Stegostoma tigrinum: one gene and its partners. The protein of the gene in region 3 binds, or shares a complex with, the protein of the main gene of each other region. Links are inferred from orthologs where the notes say so. Each region holds a gene or a part of one and is shown on either strand. Other genes may lie near its edges.

Region 1 (5,931 bases), on a different chromosome or scaffold from region 3:
CTCCACAGACACTGCCAGAACTGCTGAGCTTTTTCAGCAATTTCTGTTTTTGCTTCTGAGCCAGGCAGCCCAGTTCAAATCCAAGCTGTTCCAGAGGTGTGTGATAACACACAGTCATGGAGTCACAGAGATGTACAACACAGAAACAGGACCCTTCAGCCTGACTCATCTATGCCCACCAGATATCCTAAACAAATCTGGTCCCATTTTCCAGCATTTGGCCCATATCCCTCTGAACCCTTCCCATCCAGATGGCTTTTAAATGTTGTAATTGTGCCAGCCTGTACCACTTCCTTTGGCAGCTCATTGCATACACGCATCACCCTCTGCGTGGAAAAAGTTACCCCTCAGGTCCCTTTTAAATCTTTCCCCTCTCATCTTCAACCCACACCTCTCTAGTTTTGGATTCCCCTGCCCTGGGGAAAAGACTTTGACTCTTCACCCTATCCATGCCCCTCATCATTTCTCTGAAAGGGGGCTTGGTTACGGTGGCTCAGTGATTGGCACTGCAGCCTCACAGCGCCGGGGACCCGGGCGACTGTCTGTGTGGAGTTTGCACATTCTCCCCGTGTCTGCGTGGGTGTCCTCCCACAGTCCAAAGATGTGCAGGCTATTTGGATTGGCCATGCTAAATTGCCTGTAGTATACAGGGATGTGTAAATTAGGTGGGTTAAAGGGGGCTGGATCTGCTGGGATGCTCCAAGGGTCAACTTGGACTTGTTGGGCCGAAGGGCCTGTTTCCACACTGAAGGCGTTCTATGAGCCTATGAAATACCGACGACACGGTCCAACCAAGCGAAGAGCAGAAAGCGACATGTCTGTTAAACTCTTAATGAACTGTATATTCCGGGCTGCTACCAGGAAGTTATTATGCTGCACAGGATTTCAGATGAAGCTGTAGAGACAGAGACCTTGAAGTAATAATTACATATTGTCACTGACATGGTGCTGACTGGAAGCTTGCTTCACCCCTAAATACCTGGTGAATTATCAGAGAGCCGATGATGCTGAAGGATATGCTTGATAAACCCAGAGACAAGATGCTTGTGTTAAAGTGAGCGAGAGGCTGGAATTCTGTTGATGGTATATTTAACTCCGGGACCGCTCGGATACCTTTACACTCCAGCACCTGTTCCAGGCGTGTTTGCAGTGAGCGGCAGCTTAGTCTAAAATTCTTTTTTAAGGGGTTAGTGCAGCCGGAGGGATCTGCCTGGCTACTCTCACCATCACGTTGATTACAGGGTCTAAACATTCCCGCCGATGCTGAAGATTTTCTGTTTTAAAAAGCCACGGGCAATGTTCTCAGCCGAACTCGAGCTTGTGTCCAATACTCAACTCTCGCCCCGTTCCCAGGCTGCTCGCTGGCATACAGCGTTCCCGGCTCCCTGCACTCTTGGAGGCAACAAAGTGTGGGGCTGGATGAACACAGCAGGCCAAGCAGCGTCAGAGGAGCTCAAAAGCTGACGGTTTCGGGCCTAGACCCTTCATCAGAGAGGGAGATGGGGAGAGGGAACTGGAATAAATAGGGAGAGAGGGGGAGGCGGGTCGAGTAGAGGAGAAGATAGGTGGAGAGGGGAGTATTGGTGGGGAGGTCGGGAGGGGATAGGTCGGAAGCTCTGAAAAGAACTCAGCCTTTGTTTTTTAATTGTACCATTCAATGGACGGAGAGGAGCTGGCCTGGACATGAACCTGCTGGGTCCCGTCTCTATTGGGCCTGCTCCGTTGCAGATTGGTGAAGATTGAGTCCGTTGCTAATACACTATGAAGGCACATGGGAGTTGATACAGAGACAAACACAGATAACATGGAGCAGGAGATAACATAGATCAATACAGGCCCTTAGTGCTGACCTATTATCCTACTCTAAGATCAAACTATCCTGCATTTATTTCACTGTCACCCATGTAATAGTGTAGAACTGGAGCTGAAGAAGCAGGGTCCCGACCCGAAACGCCAACTTTCCTGCTCCTCTGATGCTGCCTGGCCTGCTGTGTTCCTTCAGCTCCACACCTTGTTATCTCAGACTCCAGCAGCGGCAGTTCTTAATGTCTCTACGTGGAGCGGGAGTCGGACCCTCGAGCCTGCTCTGCCATTCATTAAGATCATGACTTATAAGGAGAGGCTGGATAGGCTGGGACTATTTCTCAGTAGCAGGCTGGGAGTTGACCTTATAGAGGCTTATAAAATCATGAGGGGGCATGAATAAGGTCAGTAATCAACGTCTTTCTACTGAGAGTAGGAGGCTCCAAAACTAGGGGTTTACTGTGAAAGTGGAAAGATTTCAAAGGGACCTGATGGGCAACTTTTTCACGCAGAGGGCGGTGCATGTACGGAACGAGCCGCCAGAGGAGGTGTTAGAGGCTGGTATAATTACATTTTTTTAAAAAAAATCGAACAGTGACGTGAATAGGAGAAGGTTTAGAGCGATATGGGCCCAAAGCATGAAAATGGAACTAGTTCAGTTCAGGAAGACCTGGTCAGTATGCACAGGTTGGGCCGAAGGGCCTGTTTCTGTGTTGTATGACTCTGTGACTGATCATCAGTCTGCTCCTGCTTTCTGCACATATCATTTGACCGCTTCAGCTCCAATTGCTATAGCCAATTCCTTCTTAAAATCGTACGATGTTTTGGCCAGTTTTCTGTGACAGTGAATCGATAGGCTTACCACTCTCTCTGGGTGAAGATCTTTTTATCTTTTTATCTAACCAGGATCCTTAGACTGTGAGGCCTGGATCTGGACTTCCCTGTCCTGGGGAATACTTACTCACTATGAATTCCCTCCCTAATGGCATTGTGGGTTTACAGCACATAGACTACAATGGTTCAAGAAGACAACATTCTAAAGGAACAACTAGGAACGGGCAAATAAATGTGGCACTGATGTCCCAGGAGTGAATTAAAAGCGGCATAAAGGACAGTGTATACCCACCTATTACCGTTCACACAACCAGGGGCTGTAGTGACACTGTATGAAGACATACACAATAAGAATCCCTTTATGTTGTAATTTCTGCTCAACTCAAGTGCTGGCCAACTGACCGCGGTAAATTTGGAGAGAAGTTCAGAATGAATTCTTTTCAGACAGAGAGGTAGCTGCAGCCCGCTGAGTTCCTGCCTCAGACCTGGAGTGTGCCTGAGGACAGCTCTCTCTCTTACCTCCTGGCAGGTCGGCATTCCCACAGCCCTTCCCGTCCGGGTCCACACTCCGGACAAAGACCCTCTTCGTGCACAGTTTCCAGAGGCCGAAGTGAGCCTCCTCGCAAGTGGAGTTGGTTCTCTCCAGCCGGGGGCTGAGCCCTGCCCAGTGGTCGGTGCTGACCGCCACAATCGCCAGGATGATACCCACCGCGATCACACAGAAGGTGAGTTTTATCTTGCTTGCTTTACCCTCCTCCATAGTGCTGCGGAAGAGCAGGAAGGTGCTGGTGCTCTCAGCACCTGCACTGACTGACCGCTCCCCGAACCCCCGGGGCTGGTTTCGGGGAGGTTGGGGGGGGGGGGTGGGCGTCTGGTGGCTGGCCAATGCACTCTAGACTGGCCTTGGCACTGCCCAGTTGCTGCTCTCTGTATATGGGAGCCTCAGGTTGACAGAGACCGACGCGTGAGCCATTCTACCCCGGGGGGGGATGTAATTCCATTCCGGGACGATTGTAACCTTCAGGAATGGCGGGGTTGGGGTGGGAGGTTAGTATATGGGATGCTTGCTGAGGGTTTGTCGGGAGCCTCCTCTGCGCCCCTCGTGTGACACGCCTCCCCACCCCCTCACACGCACACTGGCCCCCAAACTTGTGAGTGAATTGGCCCGGCGTTGAATAGCTTTCTATTAGGAGCTGTTCCCGGCCGGGCGCTGCCGTGTGTATATTTATATCACAGTTCCACATTCAAGGAACTGTCAGATTTGAAGGCGACCGCTGGTCTGGGAGTCAGGTGGCCGAGGTCTCCACGGAGAGGAACAAGAATCGCAGTGCTATCTGGGGGAGAGGAGATCTCTGCCCAGTCTCCTCGTCATTCAGTCTGGGACAGTTTCAGGCAGGTCCCACTCTGAATGTCGGACCCACACTCGCCTTATTGTGGAGCTTTCCTCGCCAGCTTGTTGAGGGACGTTGAGACACACCTGTGGACCTGGTGGGACTTGAACCCGGGTTCCTCTAGCTCAGAACTAGGGTCACTACCATGCACCAAAGGAGCCCACACCACCCCGCTCTCCCCCCACCCCACCCGACCCGCTTTATTCTACACTGGGCCAAGCAGCATCTTAGGAGCAGGAAAGCTGACGTTTCGGGCCTAGACACTTCTTCAGAAATGGGGGAGGGAAGGGGGTTCTGAAATAAATAGGGAGAGAGGGGGAGGCGGATAGAAGATGGATAGACGAGAAGATAGGTGGAAAGGAGGGTATAGGTGGGGAGGTAGGGAGGGGATAGGTCAGAAGCTCTGAAAAGAACTCAGCGATAACATGGATCAGGGGATTACATAGAACAGTACAGCACAGTTCAGGCCCTTAGGAGGAGACAGACAAGTTAAAGAGGCGGGGTTGGACCCAGTAGAGGTGAGTGTTGGTGGGGAGGTAGGCAAGAGATAGGTTGCAGTGGGAGAGAGATCCTCTGAGGTTTGTCCGGAGGGAGGAGGGTAACGTCTTCAGGTTAGGCATCCTGAGAAGAGGCTTCGCAGTGAAGTTAAAATGGTATCGGAGATAGTAGGAACTGCAGATGCTGGAGAATCCGAGATAACAGCTCCGTGTGGAGCTGGATGTACACAGCAGGCCAAGCAGCAACTTCCAGCTCTACACCTTGTTATCTAGGATTCTCCAGCAATCTGCAGTTCCTGTTATCTTTTACTCTACACCGCGTCTCCCTACAGTCAGCACCGAGCTGTGTCAACTGCTGACCAGCCCAGCCAGAAAGGGGGGAAGGTGGTTAGGGCTTGTAAGAGTGCCAAGCTGTGAGACTGTTGCCAGCGGGTACCCCGGAGGGGACAGGGTATAGGGAGTGCTGGGGCTTTCATTCATTCAGAGGCTGTGGGCCCCGAGAGGACATGATCCGGGAATAAGCGCAACCCTGAGCTGGGCAGGAGTTTCAGACTCGGTCCCTGGAGGGCCGAGGAGTGGCGCTGGTTTTTTGGCCAAGTCTCATTCTCATTGTCTGTCTCCCCCCCCCCCCCCCCCCCCCCTCCATCCCGCAAACCCCAATGGACCTGCGGTCTCTTCCCAGAGGAGGCTGCAATTAAAAAGGGGAACAGCGTGCACTCCTGGTTCCACAGACTCCCCAGTGCTGACAGAATCCAAACAAAACCTTCCAGTGTAAGGGAGTAAGTGATGAGCTTGCGGGTCATGAACATAGAACAGTAACAGCACAGGCCCTTCGGCCCATGATGATGTGCCGACCTATTATCCTACTCTAAGATAAAATTACTCCGCAACAACCCTACATTTTACTATCCTCCTTGTGCCTATCCAAGAGTCGCTTAAATCTATCTGACCATGTTAAGCTAACTTTGCTCTTGGCCTGTCACTCAAACCCTGCTGCGAGGAAATGCACTGTGATGGACTTTGCTCCCACCCCTGATGGTTTGGCTAATGTGTGTTCCTTGTGTTGTCGTCCCACTCGAGCAACTACCAGACTATCAGTGAACCTTCACACTGCGCCAACTCTCACACGCACCGATTCTCAGCATCACCATCATGCGTTAAGTAACACTGGAAACTCTAGGAATTTTCCGAGAAAGCTCTTTCGAGATTCCTTCCTTAGCATCAAAATCAGAAATGAGTGGGGGCAAGATAAAAACTCGGCAAATCAGGCAGTATCCTGTGGAGAGGGGAAATAAAAGAGTTTTCGTCCTAGTGACCCTTCTTCAGAAAAGTTCTGATGCTGCCTGACCTGCTGAGTTTTTCCAGCAATTTCTGATTTCCAGCATCCGCAGTTCTTTGGGATTCCC
Region 2 (5,931 bases), on a different chromosome or scaffold from region 3:
GAGGGGAACATTTGTTATTTCACATCATCAACAGTAACGTTTTAAAGATTTTAAAATCTTGACTTTCAATTAAAGTATAAATAATATATTTACAATGGTTGATGGGATCAGAAATACAACAATTTAGTTCCATTACGAATCGTGTGGATGCAGCCTTTTCTGCACTGAAGTACATTGCATGATGCAATGCAGAAATTTACCGGGGCTACTGAGACACCTTCCAAACCCATGACAGCTCCCATCTAGAATGACAAGGGCAGCATGGGTCAACATCATGGGTCAAAATCCTGGAATTCATTCCCAAAAGGCATTGTGGGTCTGTCAACAGCACATGGACTCAGTGGTTCACCACCACCTTCTCAAGGGTTATTAGCAATAACGGCTGGCCAGCCAGCAATGCCAACATCCTCTGGATGAATAAGAATAATAATTGTCATTCCTTTACTGCCAAGGCAACAAAGTCGACATGGACTTACTGGTTCATGAACATGGCTCCATACCACCTTCCCAGCGGTAATTAGGGACAGGCAATAGATACTGTCCATCACTCAGATCACCTAAAAGGACTAAAATAAATGAATCAGGGCAGAAATTTCCAACCTTTTAAAAGGGCTGAGTGGTTTAATATCCTGGTGTGAAGAAAGGGATGAATCCCATTAAGCATTGTAAAAATAGTATTTATGGTTTTAATGAAAATCAAGACTTTAAAATTTTAAAAAATATTTGTTTTACATTTGGTCACTATTGATGATGTGAATGAACAAATGCTTCCTTTTTTTTAACTTAGTCCATGTCTGCACTAGACAAAATGCTCAAGGAATATCATACAAATCTATTTAGGTGCCTTTACGGCTATCACCAACAGTAATTTCTCGATAATGGTCGGTGCTCCTGCATTCTCACGATGGAGCCAGAAGTTTCAGCCAAAATTACATGCAGACCTGGGGCGGGCTGCAGCCGTCCTAACAGTGATAGAAACCAGGGCACTTTAAAAGATACAAAAAAACATAGAAATTGCTGGTAAAGCTCAACAGAACTGGAAACATCCGTAGAGAGAAATCAGAGTTAACGTTTCGGGTCTGAGTTCTGAAGAATGGTCACCAGACTTGAAATGTTAATTGATTTCTCTCCACAGATGCAGTCAGACCTACCAAGCTTTTCCAGCAATTTCTGTTTTTATTTCTGATTTCTAGTATCTGCAGTTCTTTATCGGTTTTAATTCACTTTAGACATTTGTCTCTGCCAGGGCACATATCAGTAGGTTTCGGCTTTTCATCCATTCGACTGTAGCAAAACTCAGTTTTTAATTTCTAATTAATTAATCATAACACAAGGTCTTCGAAATGTGCAATATATGGAAGGGATATTTGCTTAGAAAGCTCCATTCTTACAGGAACTGCGTCTCCAAAATGGGCTTTTATCTTAACTAGAACTTAGTCATACGCAAAAATGAACCCCTGGAAAAAAAGACATTGATTTTAGTTCCAGCAACATTATAGAACAGAACAGCTGGCCTCAAGGTTCAAAACACACTTCAGGGTTGACGTTTCGAGAAAGTGGGTGATGGTGCTCTACACATTTTGATCTATAGACTGTAATTTTGAGTGCTTTTTTATGTTTTTACAACACGCGTTTCAAAAGAGAAAGTCATAGCGCTAGTGAAGAACCCGCCTTGTGAATGTTTTAAAAGCGTCACCTCAGCACGCAGCACCTCGCTTTAACAGCGTCGATATAAACCAGGGTTAGACTGCGATGTTTGTGTGACAGGCGATCAGCCGCTGGCTCTACGAGAGGAGACTGAGAGTGTGTGTCTGTGTGTATTTGTGGTATTCCTTGTATGGAAACTAGTCCGGGCTCGAGGGGGAGCGAAGGGGATTGATGAGACTGGTTTCACAGGGCAATTGGAGGAGGGGACTGAGAGTCCAGGACAGTGACGATCACCAGCAGTTTGCACAGCCCCAGGATATATCCCAAACCAAGAAAAAAAACAAAAACAAAACTAAGCTGCTTGGAGATGGAACCCGGGCTGATGGCGGCTCTTCAGATCAGCCGCTAAATGTTATAGTTTGGGATTATTAGAATTTGTTGCTGTTGTGAACCTATTCTTGGAATCTCATCTTCCTGACATTAACTTGGGACAGGCAGATTTATTTTTATTCTGCATTTATTTATTTTCCCTTCCACTTTGTTTTAAAATACATTCACGGTGGAAGATGGCTGCTTGCAGGAGCTCACTCTGTCTAATAGCAGTTATACAGTTGTGCCTGATGCTATCTTGTACATCGCAAGAAAGCTTTCCTCAAGCTAACGAGTAAGTAACAATAACCCGGTTTGCTGCTTGTCCTTGTTGTAACTGTGTGTGCACTGCCCAGTGCTTCTGACTGTGGCCTCTATGCTTGCCAATACGAAGTGTTACACTGTATCTCACAGCGCATCTCTGATCAAACAGATCGCTGTAGAGAGGGGGAACAGAATCTTCCGATGCATTTGCGATCTGGCTAACCGATTACTGATTCAGAGAAGTGTTACCACAACTAAACATTTTCTTGTGCTTGATCTCTCGCCCTCTCTCGACTTCCAGCCCTCTGTTGAACAAAAAAAAAGCAGACCCCTAAAAGTTTATAGTTTGTGAGCACCTATTTAGGCTAAAACGATGGTAATATGTGAATTAGAAAAGGCTGCCATGTTTAATTGGAAATGGGGAGGGGGGGTGGATTGCTGTATTCTCCATTCTGAATTCGGGCAATCACATTGTTCCAATAAACTTGTTGCCAAAGTTAATATAAAGTAAGGCATTTGGGGAATTGCATGGGAACGTTTGGCTTGACTGCTGTCACTGGACCGATGCCGTCAGTTCTTAAAGGAGCCACTACCTTATTCACCAAGAGGTGTTTGACACGTTTTCCTTTGTTTATAAACACAAGGTACAATTATATACTTGCTGCGTCACATGCATGTGATGTTAACGTGCGGTAATAACATTTACAGTCTCCCCCCTCTCCTCCTCTTCACACTGTCCACCCCTCACACCATCCCAAAAGCCAACAAGAAAGTGAAAGAACTTGCAGGACCGGAGTTCTATTAACCAGAATTATAGAAATCCTTGAGGTTTTTTTTAACATGCAATCATTTTCCTGTTTTATTGTTGGTTAGAATAGAATATTTTCAACATTGTTGAAGGAGGAATATTATATTTCTCCCCTCCTCTCCCAGAAGACAAAAGCAGTTCTTTTCATAATCGGTATTTAGTTCATTAAGGTACTGCAGTTAACCCTTTGGGCAATGAAACAGCAGAAACAACCCCCAGGCTTTAATTCTAAGGAGTGGTTCTCCAGTGGAGCAGGTTTATGCTTGAATGTAATGCTGTAACAGGGGCTATGCTGGTTTGGCATGTGACATCTTCCCTACAGTATTGACAGTTCCAGCAGGCTATTTACTTTTAAGAACACAAATTTTGTGCTGCACTTTAGTTGCACGTGGAGACATACATTTCTCAGGCATCTTTGGCACCAAAAAAATCATTTTGATGAGCAAAAAGTAAAATATTGTGTTGGTAGCACTGTGAACCATCTCATTCCACCGCTGAAAGAAACTTCGGACCAGGTGTTTTCTGCTTGAAAGCTATGTGGTATAACTTATTTCTTGGGGTTGTTGCAGAATTAAGTAATTGAACAAAACATGCCTTAAATTGTGAATGATTAAAATGATGAATTTGGTCCATATTTTCTTTATTTGGTCATGGGACATTGTCATCATTCATTGTCAGAGGGCCATTACAAGACAGCCACATTTCTGTAGTACTGTAGTGAAATGTAGGCCAGGCTAGATAAGGATAGCAGATTTCTATTTTTGAACCAGATTTTAAAAAAATTACAGCAGTTGACAAATTTTACATGTTCACCATTACACTTGGTTTTCTCTAATTCCAGATAATTATTGAATTCAGATTTCACCATTTGCCACTGTGACATTTGACCCCAGAACATTAACATTAAACTAATGGTGTTACCACCATGCTACCACCTCCTCCTCCTGATTGTGTGGAATGGTTAAAATAGTTGTATTCCAGACCATAAGGATTGTCTGCTGGTTTCTGCTTGTAAATATAGAAGACAGTGACAATTTCTAGTTTAATTTTGCTGGATTTGATATAATTGTACACAATTGATTTATTTACAACAGTTATATTAATTCCAGTGTGATTGTTCCATTTGATTCAGCAGGTGCAGATTTGTAGAAAGCCTTTCTACATTTTTCCCATTATGAAACATACTCTGCTTCCCTAATTAGTTCACCAGGATAGCTGGCGACCTGTTCTTAGGCTTTTGCTACTTGGGCCCTTACAGTGAACCACTAGGAGGTGTGTGAGAGCAATGCTTGTTGATTCCCTCTGTGCTCTGTGATTTCATTTTGTATGGCAGGACTGATAAAGGCCTGGTGAACAATTACCTGCTCTTCCTCTTGACCATAGATGGCACAGATGTGGCGTTAGAAGGTCAAGGAACAAAATGCAATTTAAATATTTTCATCCTTCGCAGACATGAAAGACAACAAAATTTGTTACTTTTTTGGCTGTTCTTTTAAATCTGGTGGGAACACTACTGTAAAGTCAGTATAAGTAAACCGAGCATATGCAATACATGACTGCCCCACAGCAATGAATTTGGAGTGGGCTTTGAAAGCTGGCTTTGAGACAATAATTTGTATATTTGCAACATCAAATGCTTCAGGCAAGGGCCTTGGAGACTTGACAGTAGCTAACTTCCAGTTTGACACAAGTGGCATATTTCAGGGGCATCAGATGAAAAAGTGCCAAGTAAACCTTGCTCAAAGCAAAAGCCAGTTTCTGTCCCATTAAATTAAGCAGTTTTTCTGAAAAAAGTATTTAAAGGGTTAACATTCTATGTTAAAGAAAGCCTTCAGTGACAGCTGCTTGCCACATGCTGTGCTTAAGTTATCTCAGTACAGTCTTTGGCTTATTATTTACAGGAGGATTGATTGGTTGTTTCCACATGAAATTGTATAAACTTTGACAGTGTGAATGTAAAGAGAGTGTTTGTAGCTAACCACAGATGTTGTGCATTACTAATGCTTGTAGGAATGGGGCCATCACTCTGTCCCTGCTAATTTGCTGCGGTATATTTTTAAACCTGTTAGCTAGCACTGGTGTACAGATCTGTTTTTTAGGAATGAGATCTTCTGCCATTTCTGAGTTGCCTAATTATAGAAGTAGAGAAGTCATCAGCTGGTCTCAACAATCAATGGCGCTGTCTGTTAACCCATTAAGTAGTATAGCAGGTCACCTTTCCAGTCCATTACGTATGTGTGAAATAAATTTGAATGTACATTTAAAGCATTGTTTCTTTTGATACCATGCTATTTTAAAAACTTGTCAAAATTTTCATCTTGTATAGTTTCACTGCAACAACTGAGGGAGTTGTAATGTATTAGAGGTAGGTGTGTATGAATTAAAGATACACGACTAATTAAAAGATAACAGGGAAATGCACTGTGGATTCTTACTATAAATCATCAATAGTTTCAGTATTTAAAGCCATGAACTTTCTACTAGGAGGTATTGCAGAAGATAAATCTGTGCCAAAAGGAAAGTTTTAGGAAAGACTAAATGTTACGTGTAACTATTTCAAAACTAGAAAGTTAACCAAAATAATTTATTTCAAGTTTTGAGAGGAGATAATGGGAACTGCAGATGCTGGAGAATTCAAGATAACAAAGTGTGGGGCTGGATGAACACAGCAGGCCAAGCAGCATCTTAGGAGCACAAAAGCTGACGTTTTGGAGAAGGGTCTAGGCCTGAAATGTCAGTTTTTGTGCTCCTGAGATGCTGCTTGGCCTGCTGTGTTCATCCAGCCCCACACTTTGTTATCTCTATTTCACGTTTTGTTTTGTTTATTTTTAACTTTTGATGAT
Region 3 (5,931 bases):
TAAAAAAAATCTCTATCTTCGCTCATTTTTCTTCTGGATAGTATCAGTCATGTCTTAGAAGTTGAGAATAGACTCTGGACTTCTTCCTGTTCAATGGATAAGTCCTGTTCTCGACGAAGCAGTGGGTGCTGGTATCTGAGCAGTATCTAAATAATTCATAGTGATCATGCAGTCAGAAATGTATTTCTATCTCCATATTTTGGCATGTTCGTTGTATCATTTTGTCCTTCCTCAAGTGGTTGTCATTTGATTGCTTTAGTGGAGCCACTTATTTCTCACATTACAGCAGTGTCTATGTTTTCAAAAGATAGTAAATTGGCTGTATCATGCTTTTCATGATTGAAGGATCTTCCAAAGCATGCTGAAAATGCATTTTTAAAAAAATACGCTGTGTACTAAGACAAAGGCTAAGAATTAGATGCATCTGAATTAGAAATAGTTCTAAATGTTTTGGATGTGAACATTGCTGACAGTGCTATTATTTGTTCTGCATTCCTAATCTCCTTTGGAAGGTGGTGGTGAAGTCCAAATAGAGTACATAAGCAGTGTTATGCCTACACTGTGTTGAGGAAAGGAGTTTGAATATTTTGACTTGCTGACTGTGAAGGAATGGGGATGTGTTTCCAAGTCAGAGTGGTGTGTGGCTTGGAGGAGAATTTGTTGCTGGGATTTTCCATGCATCTGCTGCTCTTGCCTGACTAGGTGGTAAATATTGTGCATTAGGAAGGTGTTATTGAAGGAGCCTTGAGAAATTTCTGCAGGGAATCTGGTAAACGGTTTGCACTGTAGGAGCGCAGAGTACATGTTTTGAAGGTGATGCACAATTAAGCAAGTTTCATCCTCCTTGGATGATTTTGAACGTCTTCTGTTTTAGAACTACACTCATTCAGGCATATGGAGAATCTTTCATAATGCTCCTGATGTGAGTTTGTTCATGGTGGGTAGGCTTTATGCAGTCAAGACGTGTTACTTCCCTTAGATTGTGGAATTGCAGTGAGCGCAGGCCCCTTAGACTTTTCCCCTTTTGACCTACATTTCACTTTTTGACATCAGGTTTTATTATGTGTCACCACAGTTGTCATCAATTATTATCACTACTACACGGTAATGGAGTGGCCACAAATTGAGAAAACATTACCTAGGGTTACCCATAAATTGCAAATAATGGAAAGGTGCTTTGTATTCATGCCCTCTTCTACAAGATGCTGCTATTTTTCATCTGAAGGTGAGGTAGCTTACTGTATTGTAACTACATCTGACTGAGATGCCTATGGTTCCTATCATCTTGGAGGTGTCCATGGTATTTTCTCCAAAGGCAGTTGCACCTGGAACATAATTCCAGGCATGCAGTTCCACCTGGTTCTGCCCCAATGACTTTTTGGTCATCAGAATAACTGAATCAATGCTATGGATCTGATGTTTGGATAATCAACTTATTTGGGCATGTTGCGATCTATTCCCTGGCACATTGGACTTGAACTGGGATTTCCTAACTTGAACGTAGGGCGCTACCACTGCACCAGAAGTTCCTTGCAACATCATTTTTTTTATTTATTGTGTTTTAAGCCAATTGAACAATTTTTTGAGCCCAAAAAACCAACAAAATCTGATGTTCTAACAACTGAGCTAACCTGGTTGCTGTTAAATATGAGGTTGCTAATTGTCACGGTACAGATGTCCAGCTTACCCAATTCAAAGGTCAATGGTGGAGATGGTAGTTACAACAGTAGTAGTTGTGGAATTAGCATTTGCAAGGTAATAAAGAAGCCAATAATTAAACAAAACTCTGCTGATGGCCAGACATTGCTCATTTAATTTACTTTTGTAACTGAACCCATACTGAGAAGAAGTACTAGTTGAAATTTCACAGAGTGCCGAATTTGCATTTTTATTATTGAGGAAACTGATCTTTTTTAAACCAGGTCCATTTGTGTTCTTTGAACCATATAGAATAAGATGTGAGCACCAGCTAATGTGAATGGCATCCATAATAATGAATATTAGTGAGGACAGTTTGCATAGGTGAATTTGATTCCTGCACAATGCTCACGTGGAACATTTATTGTGCAAATATAGCATTTACTTCTTCATTGAAGGCCAGAACAAGCAGACAAGTGGCTGATGGAACTTAATAGAGACTGTGATTACAGTACTTGTTTTTCAGATGGGATGAAGATCGGGGTGAACTGAACTGTCATTTTCTGCTGTCGGAATATTGCCACATGCTGCTAGTGTTTATTTTTTGATTAGTAGCCATCTAGTTAAAGTCAGGATGGTGGGCGCAAGGTTCTAGAGGGTGGTCACAGCTGTTAGAACTGGATTTTAGTGACAGAAATGGTTTTCTTCAGATGGGGACGGAGAACAGACAAAGGTGATAAATCGATTCAATCGATATTGTTCCCTACCTAGCGAACAGGTATATTGAAGAAATCTGTATAACGGTCTTCAATTTTTGTAACTTCATGAGAATTTAAGGTTGTGGCTTAGTGGTAGCTCCCTTGCTTCGGAGTCAAAGATTGTGGCTCAAGTCCTATATAGAGATTTGAGCATTCAAATTAGCAGCTCAATGCAGTATTGAGGAGGTGTTGTGTGTGCAGTCTTTTGATGTGACTGTATATTGAGGCCCCAACTCTGTGTATTTGCAAACAAGTTCTCATAGTTCTATTTGAATTAGAGTTTCAAAGTTCTTGTGTCTCTGTCATTGTGTTTAGGCTTTTGAAGTAAGTTTAAATAAGATAATCTAATCATGGAATCCTTTGCTGAATAGCTTCATATTTCTTGCATTATAGTGACTACATTTCAAAGGTAATTAATTCGCTGTAGGTTACTTTGCAACACTGAGGTTTTGGTGCTGACACGTAATGTTTTAATTGTACTGATTAAATTTTTGTTATCATTCTAAATTACTTTAAAATAATGCATGCATAAAATGAAGCCACTATATATAGTTGCAAATGATTCATTTCTTAAACAAATTTTATCTACATGGCATAGAATTCTTACAGCGTGGAAACAGGCCGTTTGGCCCAACAAGTCCACACCAACCCTTGGAGCATCCCACCCAGACCCATCCCCCAAAAACGCACACACCGCTGTACAGGCTAGGTGGATTGGCATGGCCAATCCACCTCACCTGTACATGTTAGGACTGTGGGAGGAAACCGGAGCACCCAGAGGAAACCCACACAGACACGGGCAGAATGTGCAAACTCTGTGCAGATGGTCGCCCAAGGTTGGATTTGAACCTGGGTCCCTGGCACTGTGAGGCTGCAGTGCTAACCACTGAGCCACTGTGCTGCCCCATATATTAAACAAAGACTGTGAAGAATTTTAGAAGTGCAATTTAAATAACCTGATGAATTTCTGTTATAGTGCATTATGAAATTAATGTTTTGCTTGCATCATAAAAAATTGTGACCCCTGTTGAATAGCAAATAAAAACTGAAAGAACTGCAGATGGCTGTAAATCAAGAACAAAAACAGTTCTGAGGAAGGGTCACCAGACCCGAAACATTAACTCTGATTATTCTTCTTCAGAGATGCTGCCCGATCTCCTGAGGTTTTCCAGAAACTTCTGTTAAATCGTAGTTTGCTAAACAAATTTTTATGTTGCTTTGCAATAATGTATCAGGTATTCAAAGACTTGTTTTTTTATCAGGAAATTAGAGATGAATTTGGTATGTTTACAGCATTTCAGTAACTGAGGAAAAACACAAACTGCCAAGGTTACTATAAATTTCATAGTATTTTGGCAAATATAGTTTTTTGCACGTTTATTCTTTTAATTTTAAACATTACTTTTATGTTTATATTTGCAAAATTATTACAATTGTGATATCTGTCTGTTATTGATAAATTAAGACCGGGAAATATCAGTATTTAGGTATTTGTAAAGGTTGGTAATATAAATTTGATCACATTTGATGGGAGAGAAATGCAATTAAGACATCATCTTCTAATTTTGGATCCAAATCTAAAGTGCAGTTATTAAAACAACTTTTTTCTAAAATATTGTTTTAAACTGTTATCGTTTACATGGGCAAAGACATGAGAAAATCCTACCTCCAGGACAAGTGTAGAAGCAATTCAGCTGTGTCTCCTTCACAATTATGCCTTTGTACTTGATATCCATTGCTTGTGTTGGTTGTTTGGACAACTGTTTGGAGGCTTTCTGATGAAGAACTGATGGAAGCATTTTGCCTTCCATGGCAATAACACAATGTTCATTAAAAATACCTTTTGTTTTGCTGAATTCTCTGAAATCAATCTCTGAAAGTATGAGTTATTTCTTAGGTTCTGCCCATTGAAGCACAGATGAGGGGAGAATGCTTATTGTTTCTGTGTTACATTCAAAAGTGAGAGATGAAGGAGGACGGTGACTTTATATGTTGACTTCCTCCACTCTAAGGAGTTAAATTGTGGCATGCGTTTCTGCATCAGTGCTGACGTTTTGATATAGGGCCTTCATCTCATTAAGAGGAAACAAAGATAAAAAGTTTCAGCAATGCTCCAATTACAAGTCAGTTAAGATTATAAAATTCTCCCAAGAATTTGTCATGATCTTATAATGAACTTTCAAAACATTCTCTACATTTTTAACCCAGCTGTGTGTGGGAGCAGGTAGCGAGAGAAAAGAGAAAAGAAATGCACATTTGAAGCAAGTATTACTGATTAATACATCTTCTCGAGCCTCATAAAACAAAAATTACTAAAACATTTTTCATACTGAGGGAAGTGTGGGAAAATTAGGTATCAAGTTGGTATTATGTGTAGCATTGGTATAAGTTTATAGACCATATTTTAAACTGTGTTCATTTTAACAGAATAGTACAAAGTGTTCTTTGCATTCTGTTTGGGTTAATGCCATAAATCAGTTATTTGTTATAGCCAGATGAAATTGAGATTTTTTTTCTTTAAATGTCATGGCAATCAGGCTCGTTAATCGCTCTCCTATCAGCATCATAAGGTTGTGGGTATTCGAGGTTTGACATTCAGCTGCTCATTAAAAGAGCACGATTGATTGCTATTGACCAGTTAAGATTATAAAATTTTATAATCACTAGTAAGAAGGAACTTCAGCACCTACACTGACATGCAGTGGTATTGCCATCACTGAGCCAGCAGCATCAACTTCTTAATTAGAAACTGACTTGGACCAGCCACCCGCACAATGACCACTGGAAATCAGAAGCTGGATATTCTGTCAGAAATCACACGACACCAGGTTAAAGTCCAACAGGCTTATTTGAAATCACAAGCTTTTGGAGTGCAGCTACTTCGACAGGTGAAGTGACAGAGAAATACATAATGCAAAATTTATGAGCAGAAAGATCAAAAGATCAAACAAATGGTTGGGTGGAGTGTTGAATAATAAGTCTCTGCAGGTAATTGCAAGTGTTAGACTGTTTGAGTGAAGTGTCAGCAGCTGAATAACAAGCAAAGGGATTACCTATAATCCGATTAAATGAAGCAGAGAGATAATTACAAAAAATTAAAAATAAAGTGGTGCTGGTGACAAACCAAGTCATTGGAATAACACAACAGGTATAAGAGCTGCACACCAAGTGTCTTACCAAAGTAATAAGTCATCCAAAACTGTATAAACTAATTGAGAGGCCATAACAATTTATCCAGGTGATGGTGTCAAAACAGGAAGATGTTACAGATACAGTCAGTGCTGGGGGTCCAGTATAGCGTGACATAAATCCAAGATCATGTTTAAGGCTGCCTTTGTGGGTATGGAAGTTGACTATCAGTTTCTACTTGGCAGTTCTGCATTGTTGTGTATCTTGAAGGTCGCCTTGGAGGACACCTTAACTGAAGATCAGAAGCTGAATGTCCTTGACGGCTGAAGTGCTTCCCAACTGGGAGGGAACGTTCCTGTCTGGTGATTGCCTTGGGTCATCCTTGCCTGCAGCGAACGAGATACAT

What was found.
Region 1: voltage-dependent L-type calcium channel subunit alpha-1C-like (region 3) and voltage-dependent calcium channel gamma-1 subunit-like share a complex: the UniProt entries of both Homo sapiens proteins name them as parts of the calcium channel complex. The link is inferred for Stegostoma tigrinum from reciprocal best matches to the Homo sapiens genes CACNA1C and CACNG1.
Region 2: the proteins of voltage-dependent L-type calcium channel subunit alpha-1C-like (region 3) and voltage-dependent calcium channel subunit alpha-2/delta-1 are in contact, whole or in part, in a cryo-EM structure (PDB 8WEA), measured with the Homo sapiens proteins. The link is inferred for Stegostoma tigrinum from reciprocal best matches to the Homo sapiens genes CACNA1C and CACNA2D1. Residues at the interface, in NP_955630.3 of Homo sapiens: Phe147, Pro148, Glu149, Asp150, Asp151, Ser152, Asn153, Ala154, Asn678, Lys1090, Gly1091, Asn1092, Tyr1093, Ile1094, Tyr1096, Gly1099, Val1101, Pro1104, Ile1106, Arg1109, Tyr1156; in NP_001353796.1 of Homo sapiens: Thr170, Asp171, Tyr173, Ile233, Leu235, Gly262, Ser263, Ser265, Lys270, Thr274, Ala327, Lys328, Gly329, Ile330, Glu366, Gln391, His392, Tyr394, Ile416, Gly417.

What each region holds. Positions count from the first base shown.
Region 1 is NC_081375.1:9,587,012-9,592,942, reverse strand, and holds the start of voltage-dependent calcium channel gamma-1 subunit-like, read right to left. Parts: upstream 3,488-5,931; 5' UTR 3,398-3,487; coding exon 3,157-3,397; intron 1-3,156. UniProt on the Homo sapiens protein: Regulatory subunit of the voltage-gated calcium channel that gives rise to L-type calcium currents in skeletal muscle. Regulates channel inactivation kinetics.
Region 2 is NC_081378.1:27,353,302-27,359,232, reverse strand, and holds the start of voltage-dependent calcium channel subunit alpha-2/delta-1, read left to right. Parts: upstream 1-1,693; 5' UTR 1,694-2,213; coding exon 2,214-2,311; intron 2,312-5,931. UniProt on the Homo sapiens protein: The alpha-2/delta subunit of voltage-dependent calcium channels regulates calcium current density and activation/inactivation kinetics of the calcium channel. Plays an important role in excitation-contraction coupling.
Region 3 is NC_081371.1:22,339,524-22,345,454, reverse strand, and holds the start of voltage-dependent L-type calcium channel subunit alpha-1C-like, read right to left. Parts: upstream 4,336-5,931; 5' UTR 4,208-4,335; coding exon 4,063-4,207; intron 1-4,062. UniProt on the Homo sapiens protein: Pore-forming, alpha-1C subunit of the voltage-gated calcium channel that gives rise to L-type calcium currents. Mediates influx of calcium ions into the cytoplasm, and thereby triggers calcium release from the sarcoplasm.